4 linked regions of the Drosophila melanogaster genome follow. The protein of the gene in region 4 interacts with the protein of the main gene of each other region in a pairwise test. Each region holds a gene or a part of one and is shown on either strand. Other genes may lie near its edges. The genes, in order: CG2021, CG11327, CG3939 and RpL35.

The links.
Region 1: the proteins of RpL35 (region 4) and CG2021 interact in a two-hybrid assay, tested with the Drosophila melanogaster proteins (one large-scale study listed by BioGRID).
Region 2: the proteins of RpL35 (region 4) and CG11327 interact in a two-hybrid assay, tested with the Drosophila melanogaster proteins (one large-scale study listed by BioGRID).
Region 3: the proteins of RpL35 (region 4) and CG3939 interact in a two-hybrid assay, tested with the Drosophila melanogaster proteins (one large-scale study listed by BioGRID).

Annotation. Positions count from the first base shown.
Region 1 is NT_037436.4:1,775,811-1,779,330, forward strand, and holds CG2021 (uncharacterized protein), read right to left. Parts: upstream 1,602-3,520; 5' UTR 1,521-1,601; coding exon 1,233-1,520; 3' UTR 1,200-1,232; downstream 1-1,199. Other genes in the region: PolD2 (DNA polymerase delta subunit 2), read left to right, coding at 1-1,166; mRpL46 (mitochondrial ribosomal protein L46), read left to right, coding at 1,706-2,482; alpha-Spec (alpha spectrin), read right to left, coding at 3,372-3,500.
Region 2 is NT_033779.5:6,683,693-6,688,915, forward strand, and holds CG11327 (uncharacterized protein), read right to left. Parts: upstream 3,021-5,223; 5' UTR 2,871-3,020; intron 2,808-2,870; 5' UTR 2,803-2,807; coding exon 1,375-2,802; 3' UTR 1,150-1,374; downstream 1-1,149. Other genes in the region: Nhe3 (Na[+]/H[+] hydrogen exchanger 3), read right to left, coding at 34-256; Tsp (thrombospondin), read right to left, coding at 3,233-3,303, 3,372-3,505, 3,562-5,045, 5,104-5,223.
Region 3 is NC_004354.4:3,172,803-3,177,410, reverse strand, and holds CG3939 (uncharacterized protein), read right to left. Parts: upstream 2,394-4,608; 5' UTR 1,898-2,393; coding exon 1,753-1,897; intron 1,478-1,752; coding exon 1,215-1,477; 3' UTR 1,188-1,214; downstream 1-1,187. Other genes in the region: Fcp3C (follicle cell protein 3C), read left to right, coding at 3,017-3,068, 3,133-3,743, 3,816-4,001; CG18508 (uncharacterized protein), read left to right, coding at 4,432-4,608.
Region 4 is NC_004354.4:5,670,272-5,674,733, reverse strand, and holds RpL35 (ribosomal protein L35), read right to left. Parts: upstream 2,334-4,462; 5' UTR 2,215-2,333; coding exon 2,212-2,214; intron 2,001-2,211; exon of another isoform or gene 1,862-2,000; coding exon of another isoform or gene 1,859-1,861; intron 1,737-1,858; coding exon 1,600-1,736; intron 1,518-1,599; coding exon 1,286-1,517; 3' UTR 1,187-1,285; downstream 1-1,186. Other genes in the region: Tre1 (trapped in endoderm 1), read left to right, coding at 25-512, 561-768; Rab18, read left to right, coding at 3,073-3,131, 3,221-3,653, 3,718-3,819.

The sequences.
Region 1 (3,520 bases), on a different chromosome or scaffold from region 4:
CGCTGGCCCAGAAGAAGTGGGGCAACAAGGAGCCCATCAAAAAACTGTGTGAGCTGCGGGGTGAACAGGACGTGCACTGCATCCTGATCGGCACCATTTTTAAGCACCAGGCTCACAAGCCCAGTATCCTCCGGGACATTTCTGAGGAGAATCAGTTAGCGCCACAGCCGCCAAGACAGAACTACTCGGATCCGGAGGACAAGATTGTTCTGGAGGATGAACTGCAGCGGGTTCGACTTCAGGGCAAGCTAAATGGACAGCTCTTAGCCACTGGAGTTGTGTGCGCTGCCCTCGGTGGAACAGACAGTGACGGATTTTTTAACGTGGAGGATATACTCTTCTACGAAAGTGGACCTCAGAAGCCACTGGCCCCCATTAAAAGAAGCCGCCTCCTGGTGCTGGCGTCTGGGTTGGACCAACTGCAGGCCCACAAATTTGTGGAGGCATTGAATCTCTTTCAGTACTGGCTGGCCGGCAGTCTTGGAAACAACAAGGAAGCGGGCTCCATGGTGCGTCTTATCGTGGCTGGAAACTCGGTGAGAGCCAGTGCCATGGCACATGTGCCCACCCTACAGGTGGCACGCACCCAGGCGAACGCAAATGACACAGTCCAGGCCGTTTCCCAGCTAGACCAGTGGTTTGCCTCATGGGCACGCAGTCTGCCCGTCGACATAATGCCGGGACCCTACGACCCGGCCAACTTTATGCTGCCCCAGCAGCCGTTCCACAAGTGCATGTTTCCCCAGGCTGCTCAACTGGCAACTTTCCAGGCGGTGACTAATCCGTACAGCTGCCGGCTGGATGAGGCCCTGGTGGTAGGCACATCTGGCCAGAATGTATCGGATCTGTTGCGCAGCACTTCGCTGGACTCGGCGCTGGAGGCCCTTCGCTGCACCCTCACCTGGGGACATGTTGCTCCCACTGCACCGGACACTCTAGCGTGCTACCCGTACATCGAAAGTGATCCCTTCATCCTGCGCGAGTGTCCGCACGTTTACTACGCCGGCAACTGCGAGTCGTTTGCGACCGAGCTGCACGAGGGTTCCGAAGGCAAGCGCACCCGCCTAGTCTGCGTGCCCAGTTTTAGCAAAACACAGAGTGTGGCCGTCGTTGACCTGGATACGCTGGATTGCCGCATGGTCAACTTTAGCGTAGATGCAGAATAAGAAACTTCATTAATACAAATAATACACCCTGTTAAGTCTTGAGAATCACTGGTTTTATTCGCTATCCTAGTGCACCACGGGACCCAGCGGCTCGCCCCTAATGTTGGCCAAATCCAGGCGGGAGTCGATGGTCTCGTCTATCAGTCCGATCACCGCGATGTTGTCCCCCCGGATGATGTGCAGTCCCAGCACGATTTGCTCGATGCCGGAGGTGGTAGAGAAGACGCGCTCATGGCACTCGTCTATGATGATATTGATGGTCTGGTCGAATCCCTTGAGTGTCCCGATGAAGTTCCGTCCGTCTGCCGTAATGATGGAGACTGTGTGATTGATATACGACTCCAGACCGGACATTTTAGCAGTCTTTCCTTGATAACTTCTCCAAACAGAACAAAATAAATACTAATTGTGGCAAGAGGCTAGCGACGCGCTCTCCGATAACGATAACTGTGCCGCAAATCAGCTGTTCCGGCTCTGGTGCTCATGTAATCGGTGGTCAACATTCTATTTTCCGAAAAAATTAAATTAAACTGATTAAAATGCTGCGTCGCATTGTCCAAGTGGGTGCCCGGGAGTTGAGCCGAGCCCAATCGTCAACCGCCAGCGCGGAAAAGTGGGACCTGTACGCCGGAGTGCTCGTAGAGCGTCTCCCTGTGGTGTCCAAGTCCCTTAATCCGCTGGAAAAACAGTTCCAAGACTTGCTATGGCGCGTGGAGTACGAAAACAGCCTGAAGTCTGACCATGAACTCAAGCATGAACGTGAGATCGTCCAGGCGGAGCTCATAAAGCAGGGCAAGATCCAGGTGGACTTGGAGGACGCAGGATCCAAGCAGACAGCTCAGGACCTCAAGGACGCCTACGTCGAGGAGCTAAAAAAGTTCCAGTTGGGCTCCCGCACCACGCCCGATGACCAGGCCAACAGAACCACCTCCACGGACCGCTGTCTGGATGACACGCTCTACCTTTTGGTACAGCAGAAGCTGGGCCAGCAGGAGCACCTCATTCTACCGCAGGGAAAGCGTGAGGAGGGAGAGTCCATGCGTCAGACTGCAGAAAGAGTGCTCCGCGAGAGTTGCGGCCAGGAGCTGCAGGTTCTTTTCTACGGCAACGCCCCAGTGGGCTTCCACAAATACAAGTATCCCAGAAACCAGCGGACGGAGACTGTCGGAGCCAAGGTCTTCTTCTACAGAGCATCCCTGCGGTCCGGCCAGGTGCCCGAAAATCTGACCAAGTTCGAGTGGCTTCCCAAGGAGGCGCTCAATGAAAAGCTGACCAATACAGCCTATGCCCAAAGCGTTAAAAAGTTCTTGTTGTAATCGTAATTGTTAAAATTGTTTTGATATCTAACAAATAAATAAAAATACTTCAGAGGAATATCTATCTACTAGCTGCCTTTCATTTGAGAAGAATCTGGTGAGATGCTGATACTTTTGCCAACTTCCTTCTGCAAAATCAGATTACAGACTCCCCTGAATTTTTAATAAAAACTCCACTCATTTAACATATTTAGACATGCAGCAATATATTTATTTTTGCAATTCACGAGTTGTAAATATACGTCCAATACAGAGGCAAATATTTATTGTTTTGTTTTTCTTTTTTTTTTCTGCTTTGAAAAAGCTTACTACTTTCGTTTCGAATACACGTAGAAACTGGAGGAAACATAAAAGGCTGGTTATTATGCATTTCTGGTAGCAAGAGTATCTTAAATCTTTTTGGTATATCAGTTGTATCTATGTTCGTTACAAGTTACAGACATTCAATATTGAAAATGTGTGCTCGATTACTGGAAGCTAAGCTTTTTATCTGCTTTTCAGGCGCAAGTTGATCAAATTACTGTGACAATGTTCTCGATTAGATATCTTCTTCGGCGACCGGACGCGTAGCCAATTCTCAAACTGAAACGTCAAAATTTAAGATACTTTCTCATTGGGCTGTTGATAAATAAATGCAAAAACTAGAAATGGTTCATAGTCATGTTGATAAATATGTATTGCAAGGTGCTATTGTTGATTTAAGGTTCATTGTGGCATAGGTTCTTAAATAAGCATTAAACTGTTTGACTTAGAGACTAAATTATCGAAAATAATGGTGTAAATATATATTTTTGTTTGATTTTTTTTTGTGTTTTGTTGGTTTTTAGAAATATACTTTAAATTGTAAGACATATGCTCAGGCGCCACTAAATAAGACAATGCAGGCTCTTTAGTTCTGGAACAGCGTTCGCGTGAAGTCTATGTAGTCCAGGGCATCCTTGATGGGCTGGCCGGAGCGCGGTTCCGAGAAGGGTTTCATGCGCTGCACGCAGTAGTCAGCCATGTCCTTGGTGAGGTTCTGTGGCAAGAAAGCAAAGA
Region 2 (5,223 bases), on a different chromosome or scaffold from region 4:
CAAAAGGGAAAGCTGCCCGCGTTACCAACGTACCGTAGATGACGGCCAATCCCGTCTCGTGGAGCCAGGAGACGCGATGGTGTTTGAAAAGCCAAATTGTGAGCACTGTGAGCGCCAGCAGGAACACGAAGACTAGAAGGTCCAGGCTCTGGATGCGGTGATTGAGCGTGGCCTTGGCGTCCAGAGCGATGTCAGTGTCCGTGGCGCTGCATCCAGGCGCGAGGACGCACAATGCAAATCCGACTATGAGCAGCATGCTGCTCCGCCAGCACTGTAGCTTCCAGAATGTCTGCGACCTTGGGTGACTTCCTGCGTCCCCATGAATACGGTGGGGCGATGTCATCTCTACCTCGGGGTCCACATCGCCGTGGGACATACTTTCTTCAGTTTCTTCCTGCGCCTGCAGCCGAAATCGATTTTCGCGTTATGTTTCACGGGTTGGGGGGGTGGTGGTGGAGGTGATGGTGCTAGAAGCGCGGAGCAGGACGACCACGCTCAGGCGGCGCCAGGGGAGTGTGTGGACCTCCTTTCGCTTGGATATTGAATGTGCCGCACAGCCGTTACATAAAATTAAAGGGTCCAAAAAGAGCTTTCAAAATTTCACAGCAGCGCACTCCGCTAAAAAAACAGTTTGTTCGTTCATATGGAAACAACCGTATGCGACTGCAGTGTGACCGCACGCTAGCACGCGAAAAAATATTGCCTTTGAACAGGAGCGGTTCAGTAAAGATATTTGTATTCAATATAATAGTTATGTAAAACTAAAACTTGCAATAATCCCAAACTATTTTCCAAGTAAAAACTATTATTCCGGGAATTGCGTCAAATTAGCCTTTTCATTTATTAATTTTCTTTCCCGTCGTCTAGTACTAGTCCCGCCGACCAGTCTCTCCGTGTCCCACCGACATAGTTAGATCTGTAAGTTCGTATCATTGCTATTTTTCACGATTCCTCTATACATTCAAAAAAAAAAAAATAAATAAAAAATTCCCCATGTTTAGAATTCCGCCGTTCCTCCATCGGTAATTATTCCGGGAAAACAGTAAACGGGCAGGTGCAGTTTCCGGTTATCGATAACCGTTACCCTGCCCTAGCCAACAAGAGTATGACCTGACAAAGGCGCCACCTAGCGCTCGTTTCAAAAAGAATGTTAAGTAATTGGCGCTTTAATTCAAATATACATACAAATTATACAAATTACAAACAGTGCGGCCGTGATATTGTGGATATTTATTTGGAAAATAGATATTTAAAGCAACCCAACTATGCCAATGCGTCGGGCGATTTTGAAGTGTTTCCTAAGATATACCGTAGTGAAACGTATGCTCTCGCAAGTTCGCATTATCCAATTTGCATTTCTAGAATAGTGAACTTCTACTCCTTGCGAATTATATAGACCAAACTGAAAGCCAAGCTGCAGAACAATATGGGATAGCTAAGCTTAAGGATTCTGTGGTTGACTAGACGCCTCAAGAAACTCAAGGGCTTGCCAGTTTGTTTTAGGTCCGGATCCGTTTCCTCCTCCATATCGATTTCCGCCTCCGGGCCCGTCAGCGTCTCCCTTTCTTCCGCTTGCTCACTTTCTATCAAGTCTGGAGCTGTTTCAACTTCGCTATTCTCTTCTATTCTGGCCTGCAAAAGTTGGCGCATTAGGTGCACATTGTACTCCGGATCAAATAGTTCATCCAAAGTAACCATCTCGCGACCGTTTTGCACCGACCCATCTAGTGAGGGATGGTCGGCCAGTTCCGGGACCGAGTCAATGCACACAATCTCATCCGCCGTTGGATGAAACATGGGCTCCAATGTTTCAGGGTATTTCTCGAATTGTTCACGAACAAGCCTGTCCTCTTCGGACTCGCTACTTTCATTAATTAACGTTTCGAGTTCCTCCATATCCGATTCGGGTACAGATTTCTCGGATTCTACGTCTGTAGGATCTTGCGGGGTCTCTTGGACGATCTCTGTGTGTTCATCTATTGGCTCTTCGCCCAAATGCTGGACAATTTCGAATTCCTTTAAAGATTCTATTTCCACGGCAGTTTCCTTTATTTCTGGAAATTCCCCTTTCGGTGCAATTTCTTTTTCCACCATCTGTACATTTCCTGGTATAAGTTCTTCGGGTTGTGTTTCAGGAAGTGTTTCCTGCTGAATATCGTTTCCTGTCAGCTGTTCCATATCTAGTCCGGAAGACTCGGCACCATTCTCCACATCAGAGGCTTCATTTTGCAACTGTGTATCCACATCAGTGGCGTCATATTGCACCTGTGTATCCTGGTCAATATCATCGGGCAGTAGATTTTGCATATCTAAATTATTAAAAGCCACATCAGCCTCCATTTCGGCGACGACGCGTTGAAGTTCCTTGAGAGTCTGCTCCTCTGCCAGTCGGAGCTCCAACTCGCTGCTAGTGTCCGGAATCCTGTCGAGCATCGGCTGCAGCATTGGACTCGGTCTGGCCGACAGCGTAGTCTGCTGCTCGTCCGTGGAGCAATCCAAATTGATGCCAGAATCGTCGGCCATCTGTTGACTTTCCATGGAGGAGCGTCGCTTTCTCTCGGGCATCAGTGAACTGTAGATCCGGCTGCTGGCACTGGGTCCCAAGAAAAGTGGAGCCGGAATTTTAGTGGGCCTAACTCCCGAACTGCGAGGCCGCAGCTCACTCTCCGACGAAGATGGGACAACCGCGTCCACATCGTTTTCCATTGATTGACATTCTTCGGAGTTTTTCACATTCTTGTTGTTCTCAGTCCGCTTCAGCTCTTCCTGGGATGGAGTTGCTTGCACATTGCGGCTGGCCATCGTGGCTATTTGGACGCATAAATGAATGAGGTCAGCACAATTTGGTAGAGCACTGTGCTCCAACTTACCCTTTATAAATTTACGCAAGACTGACTGAATTTAACCTGGTTAACTAGTTCGACATCCGTGAAATATTATATCAATGTTTTCAACATGGGTTTTCCCTTATTTCGGTGATCAAAACGTTCCCTAGCGAAAGTGTGTTCGCCTAACTGTGGCAATTGAACTAAATGGATTGACAGGCAATGTCTCCTGATTTCACGTGCAGCCAGGCCAACTTGATTCAGTTCATTTTTGTGTTGGAAAACGCGGCTCCAATGGCCAACTGGATTGGCAACTCATTTATTAACTTAGTGGTAGCATTAATACATAATTTGGTTAGAATTGATGGCAGAAAAGACGTTAATGGCTCTGAGGATTGCGATTCCCCTCAGTCCTGCAACTCCACCTTCGTCTTGAGATAGTCGGACAGATCATTGTAGATCAGCGGCTTCACACGATCTGTTTTGAAAAGCATAGAAAAAAGTTTAGTTCAGTTGAAGTTACCACTTTGTTTCGATTTCCCTTACTATTGCACTTGTACTGCAGGTTGGACCATATAATCATCCTCTGTGAGAAGCAGAACACGCCCAGCCGACCGCCCTTCAGCGTGGAGTCAAACACATTGCCCGAGTCGAAGATCAGGCGGTTACCCTCGTGCATTCTGTGGGTAGAAGGAGAATGAAGACATGGGAACCCTGTCATGGTGCCATCACTCACTGCAGGCGGATGAGGCCGATGGCCGGTCGATGCACCAGGGACCAGCGGTAGGAGGTCCTTTCCTTCCACGCAATGTTCTTCGGATCCTTCCACAGCAGCCTGGCCTCACCGTCGGTGTTTCCCTCGTGCCACAGGCTGTTCCTCATCATTGGGCCCGGACCCTCGGTGCTGTTGACCAGCTTGATCTGGATGCCCGGCGCCGCAGAGGCGGTGAAGGGTCGTGGCTCCCAGTAGGTTTGGGTGCCCTTCTTCCACTGCACCACGTAGTACTTGTAGCTGCTCTGGTAGCTGAACACAAAGCCAGCGTAGTCATCGTCCGTGTCATCGTTGATATAAAAGGTGCCGTCGAAGTCAACGCCTCCGAAGGCGTCCTTGCCCACCGCTAGTCCCGGATCCGAATTGAGGGTCTGGACTATCTCGGTGCCATTGGCGTGTACCACCCAGTTGGGATCCGCTTGCGATAGGCCTTTGGGATCCAGTGGAATGGTTTGAAGAGTGCGAAAGTCAGTGTGATGAATCATCGAGTTGTTCGGGCAGTTGTCCATGCCATTCGGTACACCATCTACGTCCTCATCATCTTCGCAAGAGTCACCCTTGCCATTCCGATTGAAGTCGTCCTGCTTTGGGTTCTTGGCCAGCGGACAGTTGTCCTTGTAGTTGGGTATCCCATCTCCGTCCATGTCGTCATCGCACTCATCGCCCGTTCCATCACCGTCAGTGTCCAGCTGGTCCGAGTTACTGACCATTGGGCAGTTGTCCAGCGAGTTTGGAACTCCATCATCATCCCCGTCGATGTCTCTGTGACAGGCATCGCCTACAAAGTCCATGTCGCGATCCTTTTGGTCGGGATTCGGAAGATTCGGACAGTTATCGCAAGCGTCGCCCACACCATCGTTGTCCACGTCCGACTGACTGGGATTCGGCAGCAGCGGACAGTTGTCTAGCGCATTTGGTATGGAGTCGTTGTCGATATCACCATCGCACTCGTCTCCCAGTCCATCCTCGTCCGTGTCCAACTGCCTGGGATTGTACTTAAGCACGCAGTTGTCGCACACATCGCCCACCTTGTCTCCATCCGAGTCCAGCTGCTCGGTGTTGTAGGCCAGCCAGCAGTTGTCTTGGCTGTTCTGGACATTGTCGCCATCGGCATCGTCGTCGCACCCATCGCCATGTCCATCCAGATCGGCGTCCTCCTGGCCTGAATTAGGCAACTTCGGGCAGTTGTCTCGCTGACAGCGCAGCTCTGGACAACCGATTGCCTGATCTGGCCATCCATCTACGTCGGTATCCCTACCGCAAATCAAACCGTTGCCCGCCCATCCCACATTGCAGTGACACTTGTGGCGGATGTTATCCATCCTAAGGCACACGGCATTGCGGTCACAAACGGTTCCATCCGGACACATGAACACCGAGGATCTGTCTAGGCAGCTGTAGGTGCCATTTGTTACATATCCTTCGTGGCATTGGCATCTGTAGGAACCCTGCGAAAGAAATCTATTACTTTTAAACTATTTTTTTTTAAATTTGTATCGTACTCACAATCTCGTTGATGCAAGTAGAATGCTCCGGGCATCGGAAGAACCCAGTGCGGCACTCATCGACGTCCAGGCACGTTTGCCTGCGATAATCCACGGAGTAGTAGTCGGCGAAGTAGCCATG
Region 3 (4,608 bases), 2.5 Mb from region 4:
AGCATTTTCCACGCTGTCTCCCTGTTCGATCGCTGCCAATTTAATTTAATTTATTTGTTTTTTACTTTCTCATTTATCCATTCGACGCGACTCGTTTGTTTGTTGCAATTTTGTTGTCATCTTCGCGTTTTTAATAATTTAGCACCATGCCGCCAAGTGGATCACGGTGCATGTTGCTGTCATCTGGCTACTGATTTATTTATTCATTGATTTTGTCAATGATTTAACGTAAAAGTTACCAAACAAATCGAACGAGAAGAAGCAACAGTCTTGCCACACAATTAATATGCAACGCGGCCGAAGCAACAGGGTTTTTGGCTAAGAAGTTACGGTAAATTGCGTTTGCCTGGTTTTGCATTGGCTAAATATTGAACGTATTACTTTTTAAAACATTTGATCAATTTATACATTTACCTTTAGTTTAGTTTTGATGTTACTTTACTTACGAAACCTTTTATTATTCTATTATTAAATATATATTTTTTTTTATTTTCAAACAGTTAAAGCAAAACGCAACAGGATTTACCGTTGCAAGCCCATTCTTAATTTATAACCATTCACTTTTAGGCAGGATCTATCATGTTTTTTTATCCATTGTTTATGTTCAGCATGTTTACAGTTAATCAGCTTGCAAAACTGTGCGGTCGTGTGCTTCAAATTCAATGATACTCTGCGCTTTTCCGCTATGTTTAGCTACATATATACATATCTTACTTTGCATTTACCTATGTATTTCTTGAGAACTGTTTCGGGTTTTGTGTTTTGTTAGGCTTTTTGATTCGAACACTTGCAAAAAATAAAACAAAACTTAAATCGCGGCATTAGCGCGTGCGAGCGAGATGGCGCGTTGGCACGCGTGTTTACCGTTGGACGCGTGTGCCGCTATTACCGTTATAGCCCCGTTTTCGATTCCTTTTTCAGCCGCGCTCTGCCAAACGATTCGTCCTGGTCGACGACATGCGTGCAAATAAACGAGTAAATGCCGAGCGACGCGCTGCCAGCCAGAAATGCTCCACTCATTCTGTTCTCCCCCATTTCTCCATTCCCCCCTTTTTTAGCACCACCCCTCCCAACGACAATTTCACTCGTTCTTTCCACCGAGTTGAGCGCAAAGCAGCAAAGAGAAAGAGAGCCGCAGCGAGAGAGAGAGAGAGAGAGTGATAGAGAGAGAGACTGAGAGTGGGAGTGAGTTTAAGCCAAAGCCAAATCGCGTTTTATTGGGCGACAAAATTGGACTTCTTCGGATCGGTCTCCTCGAAAAAGAGCTCCAGAAGACTCGACTTGAGCAGCTGATCCCCATCCAGGCGCTCCACGCCCTTCCAGCGTATAAGGGTCGGTATGCCTTCCACCGAGTATGGCGGCTTTCGGAACATGTTGTCCTTGCCTATCCAGGATTCCCGGCTACCCACGTCCACCACCAGGATCATGCAATCCGCCGGCGCGTGGTTGCGAAAGGCACTCATGATAGTTTCCTCGGCTGGAAAATATCAGCGATAATGGGATTAACTTAATGTATGTCACTTCTTTATGTTATGTTATAACTCTGCGATGAAATGAATCGAAATGATGAGGACAATGTACAATGTAGATGGAACTCTCAATGGAGAGCGAAAATCAAATCAAAAGTAACTCAAGTTAGCTGGGTAGAAAGTAACTAACTGAAACCCACAAATGAGAAGCGTGATAAGCAGAATGTAGAGTGCCCAACTGGACTAGTAACGCCCCGCTGGGCGAGGAGAATTCGTCACCTACCCGCCACGCAGTCCGGACACCAGCTGCGTCCGTCCTTGTCTTTCTCGCCGTAGAAGTAGATGTAGATGGGGCTGCGCTGGTTCTCGTACAGCTTGATCAGATTTTCCATCTCCTTGAAGCCCCGTGCCGGCACATATTCGGGCATTTTGGCAGTGTATGGGATTTCTGGATTAAAAAAAACTTGGACGTCTTGAACGGCGAGTTGGCTGGTGTACAAGTAAATTCCGATTGCGGCGATTTCGATGCGGATGGCAAACCCAAAATTTAATTCCAATCTTATCTGGATCTTATCGCTGGGTGTTACGGATCACTTAGCCGTTGCTTATCGGCCATCGGTAAGTTTATCGGGTAATTAATGGCGTATAATTTTGTTGTTTGCTGTGTTTTTCGATCTGTTTTGTTTTCTTTTTTTTTTTTTTTGCGGCAAGCTCCAGCAACTAGTATATTCACCACACTGCCTGTCCAGCGAACCCACCACAGCCGGCTGTGTGTGCGTGCTGTTGGGCGCACCGTGGTGAGTACGGCACTGTTAACCGTTTATCGAAACTCGAATTTTGTACTTAAATCATTTGAAGCAACGATAATTTTGACATTTTTATGGCATAAATCTATAGGATTGTTGAGTTTAACAAATAACAAACATTTAAAACTTCGTTCAAGATACATATCGATAATCTGTATTTATATTTCAAATGTTGGCCGCCCAATATTGATTGGTATTTCTGTTAAGTTCCATAAACAGCGCAAAAAATACTAACTTAACGAAAAACAAACCAAAAAATGAAAATTAAATTAAATCTATAATTAGATTAAAAACCAAAGCTTTGCTTATGTTGAAATGTTTGTTAATATTACCATATTATAACTTGTATAATTTGGATAATAATTGCTGTTTAATCGGCCGTTTATTTATGTTATCCATTATGTTATTATAATCATAACAGTTTCATTGCAGTTTGGCGGGATATTTAAAAAGATTTTGGAAAGTAGTTTAGAACGGTAAGGTAAACTTTGTGCAGCTCAAGACACAACTTTTGGGTTTATTGATTACGCATAATTTTCGGAAGTAATTCTTTTTCTTTCTTCTCACTTTCCTCCAAATGAATGAATTCCACTCGCTTTGTGTGAAAATTCTGCTTAATCAGACTTAACCCTGACACAATTTTGCCGGTTCTCACAACTTGAACTTCGTTGGGGGCCGACTAAAATGGAAGACCGAAATCTTGAAAAACTGCAAGCCAAGTAAGAAAATGGCTTATATAAAATGGATGGCGCAAAGGCAGAAGTATTCAGTGTTTCCGTAGATACCAAGATGGGTAAGCTTTGAAAGTAATATTAGCTAAAGAACACATTTCATATCGTATATATTTCATATATCAGGCGCCTTTAAAAATTCCCTGCTGCTGCTGACACTTCTGCTAGCCATCCATTTGGAGGCATCCAAGATAGTCTACAAGAAGCCGCTCTATGGCAATAGCAACATCATCAAGGACAAGCGTATAAAGACGAAGCCCGTCAAACTGGAAACCAGCACCATGAGCAGCACTGGTGTTGCAAGTAGCAGCACAACAGCCGAAGAGGATTGGCCCACGGCCGTTGAGTTTGTGATTATGACAACGCCCGCAAGCGAATTGGAAGCCAGCACGGAAACCATTGGTAACAATGGCACCACCGAAACGACCGTTGGCGAGGCACCCATCATCGGATCGTCGGAAGGATCCACACGATCGATGGAGCCAACCACCGCGAGTCCGCTGATGAGCACAAACCCATCGAGCAGCAGCAGTCTGGTTAGCACCATTCCCTTGCCACCGACAGCGGGACTGCCTGTGCAGGATAATCAGCCAGTGCCGTGCACATGCGGCGTCTTCCTCTCCTCGCAAATCCCAAATGGCTTGCCGACAAAGCCACTTATCCACCAGGAATTGGATCATATGTTTCCCTGCAATGCCATCGGTCGCAAGCAGTGTCAAACCAAATGCCTAGAGACGGTGAGTACTGGGGAAACGAGGAGGAAAAGATGAGGAGAAGCGCTCTATAACTCACCATTTCGTCCATTTTAGATCGTACAACATCTGCCGAATTCCGCAAATATAGTATGCTCCGCACTGGGTCACGATTGTCACAAGGAACGGGCCTATTTGTTCATCAAGAACTGTCACAATCAATGGGTTAATACCAATCTGCAGGCGGGCAGGGAGTACTGTTGTCGCTCTGGCGTTCCCTACCGTTGCCCATTGATGGGTTAAGCACTGTGCAAATGAAATAAATATATGATATGACAAAATTTCAACTGTATTGTAAATGCGCATGGTGTTAAAAAATCTAAAAAAAAAAGCAAAAAAAAAGCTAAGGTGTGCACATAAGGGTTAATAGATTTCAAACGGTTTGGTTCGAGTCCGGACTATATTAGTCCAACCGGTTGCGTTCTTTGCTAGAGAGTACGTATTTTTTTTTTTTAAGATAACAGTATATGCGTGGCGTTTTTAGGCTCAATACCAAACACAAGTGAACTGGCTACACTGACATTTTTGACAATAAATAAATAGTTGAATTAAGGAAATCAAAGCGAGAAATACTTTTTTTCCGGAGCCAGTAAGCTAACATTAAATAGGTACGTTCCGCAATTGTTGTAATCACTTGCAACGCCAATAACTAACCATTTTTAAAGCCCGAACAATGGTTTGCGTGCCCTGTATTATCATTCCACTGCTTCTGTACATTTGGCACAAATTTGTGCAGCCGATCCTGTTGCGCTACTGGAATCCCTGGGAGAAGAAGGACGACGATGGCAATGTGATCAAAAAGGGACCCGACTTCCCATTCGAGTGCAAGGGCGGCGTTTGCCCCTTCGTT
Region 4 (4,462 bases):
ACTAATCGGTTTTTATCTTCCCAGCTGCCGCCCATATTGGGCATCTGGGGCGAGATGGGCCTGGACGAGGCCACCTTCTCCTGCACAATACTCAAGAAGGAGGGGCGATCGATCAAGAAGACGCTGTTCGTGATCGGCTTCCTGCTGCCTTGCCTGGTGATCATCGTTTCGTACTCGTGCATCTACATTACGGTGCTGCACCAGAAAAAGAAGATTCGCAACCACGATAACTTCCAGATCGCAGCGGCCAAGGGCTCCTCGTCGTCCGGCGGCGGATCCTACATGACCACCACATGCACGCGCAAGGCGCGCGAAGACAATCGACTGACCGTCATGATGGTCACCATCTTTCTGTGCTTCCTCGTCTGCTTCCTGCCGCTAATGCTGGCCAATGTGGTGGACGACGAGCGCAATACCTCGTACCCCTGGCTGCACATCATCGCCTCCGTGATGGCCTGGGCTTCCAGTGTCATTAACCCGATCATCTATGCGGCCAGCAATCGCAACTACAGGTAAGTTTGCTGGCAGTTTTGGCTGCTATCGGGTTTAGCTGCTAATAGCGAATCTATCTTCTATTTCAGAGTGGCCTACTACAAGATCTTTGCGCTGCTCAAGTTCTGGGGCGAACCGTTGTCGCCGATGCCGAGTAGAAACTATCACCAAAGCAAGAACTCCAAGGAGCTGTCGGGCGTCATCCGCAGCACGCCGCTGTTTCACGCTGTGCAGAAGAATAGTATTAACCAAATGTGCCAAACATATTCAGTATGATCGAGCTCGCAGTCGAGAGCTTGTAATTCATATCAATTACCTACTTATTACTTGTTAGTTCATAATTATTTACGATGTATGGCCGTGCTTACATCAAAGACAATCGAATTAAATACATATACGTAGACCAATTGAGAATTCTGGTGTTTTTCAAGTTTGCATATTCAAAGAAGGCTGAATTAAAGATTGAACTTAAGATTTGCCATTACTTCTACAAGGCGCTAACTCAACGTTTTTGCTCTATAATGATCTTAAGGACCACAAGTAGTTAAGTAGATCCCATTGGATCCGACTAACATATGTAGAACAGGGAATGCGGCACTTGTTTTTTTGTTTTTTAACTAATTTCCATGAACCCATGGCCAAAGCCATGTGCCACTCGCGTTTTTTCGGTCACAAAATCAAACACGCATCGCTATTTTCACTTTAAAAAAAAGATTTTATTTAGTTTTTCTTCTTCATTGTACCGAAGAACCCTTAACGCGCACTATAGACAGTCGGAGTATCTGGATGCATTCTAGGCCTTGACGGCGAACTTCCTCTGGGGGAAGACGGAGCGCTTGCGGATCTCCTTGAGGGTCTTGCGGTTGGCGTCGCGCGGAGACAGGGCCTTGCGGATAGCGCGGGTCTTCTTCTTGCGCAGATCCAGGGGCTTGTACTTCTTGTTCTTGAAGACCTTGCGCAGATTCTCCTTCTGCTTCTGGTGCATCACAATGTAGACGCGAGCGATGGCCTTGCGGACAACGCGGCTGTATGGATAAGAACGCACATAAATGCACAAAACACCGGAATTAGTTCGTGACGCTTGTCGTTGTGCCGCGGCATACTCACATCTTGGAGAGCTTGGAGGGAGCTCCGCCGGTCACCTTGGCCACGCGCAGGCTGAGCAACTCATTCTTGAGCTCATCCAATTGCTTGGTGAGTTCCTTCTTGTCCTTGATCCTCAGCTCGGAGCACTTAACCTTCACCTGGACGGGAGCACAAACAAACGGGCAGAAAACAAGAACATTAGTATCGCTGCACTGCAAATGGCATGTTCATTGGCCCTTGGGCTGAGAGCATCGGGTGTCGATGGGTGTAACCAACCAACCATTTTTCTAGCTCTGCTCTTTAACACTCAGCACAGAACAAAAAAACCAACGAATTTTCCGTATTCACTAAACCAGCAAATTAAGAAATTCAGCACGTGGCTTAACGCAACCTCTCCGGAAACGCGGCGAAAAGAAAAGGAAAGAAGAAGAAGCAGAGGTGCTAGGGGTGAGCACAAAATAGTGTGCTAGCGTTGCGCGTCTCAACTAGCGTGGTACTGCATTATTAATCGCATTTTGTGTTAACACCATGAACGGCAGTAATTTGGGGCGCGTTTTAGCCATTACTTTGGCTTTTAATTGTTCGTTTCGTTGTAAAATAGGTTAGAAATCTTTTCGCTCACAAAATACCAACCATTTTTCTCGCTGGTCACGTCAAAAAAGAAAGATGGGACTTGGAGGAAAGAACTAGTTGGTGGTGGCACTATTGTAACTTCGAGCGTCGAACCAGTGGCAACGCTGATATCGAACCGGTTCCGAGTCCGTCATTAAAATAGATAAATCAAATTACTACGATTGCAAAAATATTCAATCACAATATTTACTTTTTTATTTTGCTAATGCCAATGAAAAGCTAAATAATACCATTTTAGAGAGCTATAAAATTAAGACATTACGCGTTTCGGAATTATTTTTCGAGGAAAATTATTTCTTATATAATTTAAACGTTTATATAAAATAATTATAACACCAACTATTTTGAGCGCAGAAGGAATCCTAAATTTATGATATTTTATAATTATTTTTTATAATTAATTTTTTTTTTTTAATTAATTTTTATACAACAATATAAGGAACGCACTGTTACCTATGTGGCAACAAAATTTGATCTGCTTAACGTGTTTTAGTTTTCATTGCGCGTTTATTATGGTAGTAACAACAGAATTATTTTTTTAAATATAGTTAGTCCTCCTAAGTCAAGACCCGATCGGTTTTGTTAAAAGGGTGGAATTAAATTATTTTAAGAAGCTAAATGTGTGTGCAAAAAAGTAGCCAGATTACGGCCACAGGTCACCACTAGATCGAAGTGGCGGTCTGGCAAGGCTGCTGTTACAGTGGTCCATCTCTATCGTGAGAATGTAAACAAAGCAGCAAGGTGGCAACGCCGCACTCACTTACTCCAGATAATCTACATAAATAATACAATTGGCAATATTCTTATCGTTTTAAGTAAATAACAGTAGTGATAAGCATTAAGCGGAGCTCAAACCACACAATGGCTGATCGGGCTATCAAGCTGCTGGTGATCGGGGAAAGCGGCGTGGGCAAGTCCAGGTGCAGTCCCAAGTCCATGGAGCAATTCCACTGCGTATATTACCAAAAGCTTGCATCACTCATCAACTTTCATTATCATTTCATCATAGTTTGATACGTCGCTTCGTGGAGAACAAGTTCGACCAGAACCATGACGTCACGATTGGCATGGACTTCAAGAGCAAAGTGATGCAGGTGGACGGCATAGACTACAAGGTGGCCCTGTGGGATACGGCGGGCGCCGAGAGATTCCGCAGCCTGACGCCCAGTTTCTATCGGAAGGCTCTGGGCGCCATTCTAGTGTACGACATCACCAGCAGGGACAGCCTGGTCAAGCTGGAAACCTGGCTGGCTGAACTGGATAGCTACAGCGACAATCCCAACATTGCCATCATTGTGGTAGGCAACAAGATCGACGAGGAGCGAGTTGTGGATCGCGAGGAGGGTCGAAAGTTTGCCAGGAAGCACAGGGCGCTCTTCATCGAGACCTCAGCCAAATGCGATCAGTTCGTCAGCGATGTGTTCAAAGATGTGGTGGAGAAGGTGAGCTAGCTACCAACCAAATACTTGGCATTCGTGTTTCCAATTATCCACATCCGCTTTGCAGATCGTCTCCTCCGAATACTTCAACAATGGCAATGCCTCCGCCGGTCTGGACATCGCCAGCGATCGGGATCTGGAGGCAAGCGCGTCTACGTGTTACTGTTGATTTCGAATGTTATGCGTGCTTTTGTCAAATTTATATCGTGTATTTATTTAATCGTTTCAATATCACTAGCATAAAGTCAATCAACCTTAACGTTCAATCGTGTACTCCAATCTGAGCAGGGCTATCGATTCACTTAGCTTGCAGGGTTTGCAGATCAGTCAGAATCCTTTTTAAATTCTATCCTTCTAATATTCCTGTACGGCTTATTGTCCATCTGCTTGCATTTCGTCTGCGACCAGTCAAAAGTCAAGTTCAGCATTTTCTTTTCATTATTTTATTGACATGATGATAGTTTTCCATTTGCGTTCACAAACGCAACAAATAAAGTGGAGAATTGGATTAGTGACCAACTGAAATGTACATGGGCTATGCGATTTTTTTTATTTCTATTGCATCTGGTGGTGTAAATTTATAAGTGAGTTCGGTTTATATTTACAATTATCGATGATTAATATTTATTAATTAACGCTAACAAGGTGGATTTAGAAATCAATGAAGCTGTTCTTCACGATTGGCTCGCTCGCTATTCATCAATTTCTTGTAAATCCCTTGCACGCGACGGATGCTTAGAAAACAAAGCTGGACATTTGGCCGCAACAATTCCCGGAGCACGCCCCTTATGTACATTTTTGTAATCGCATAG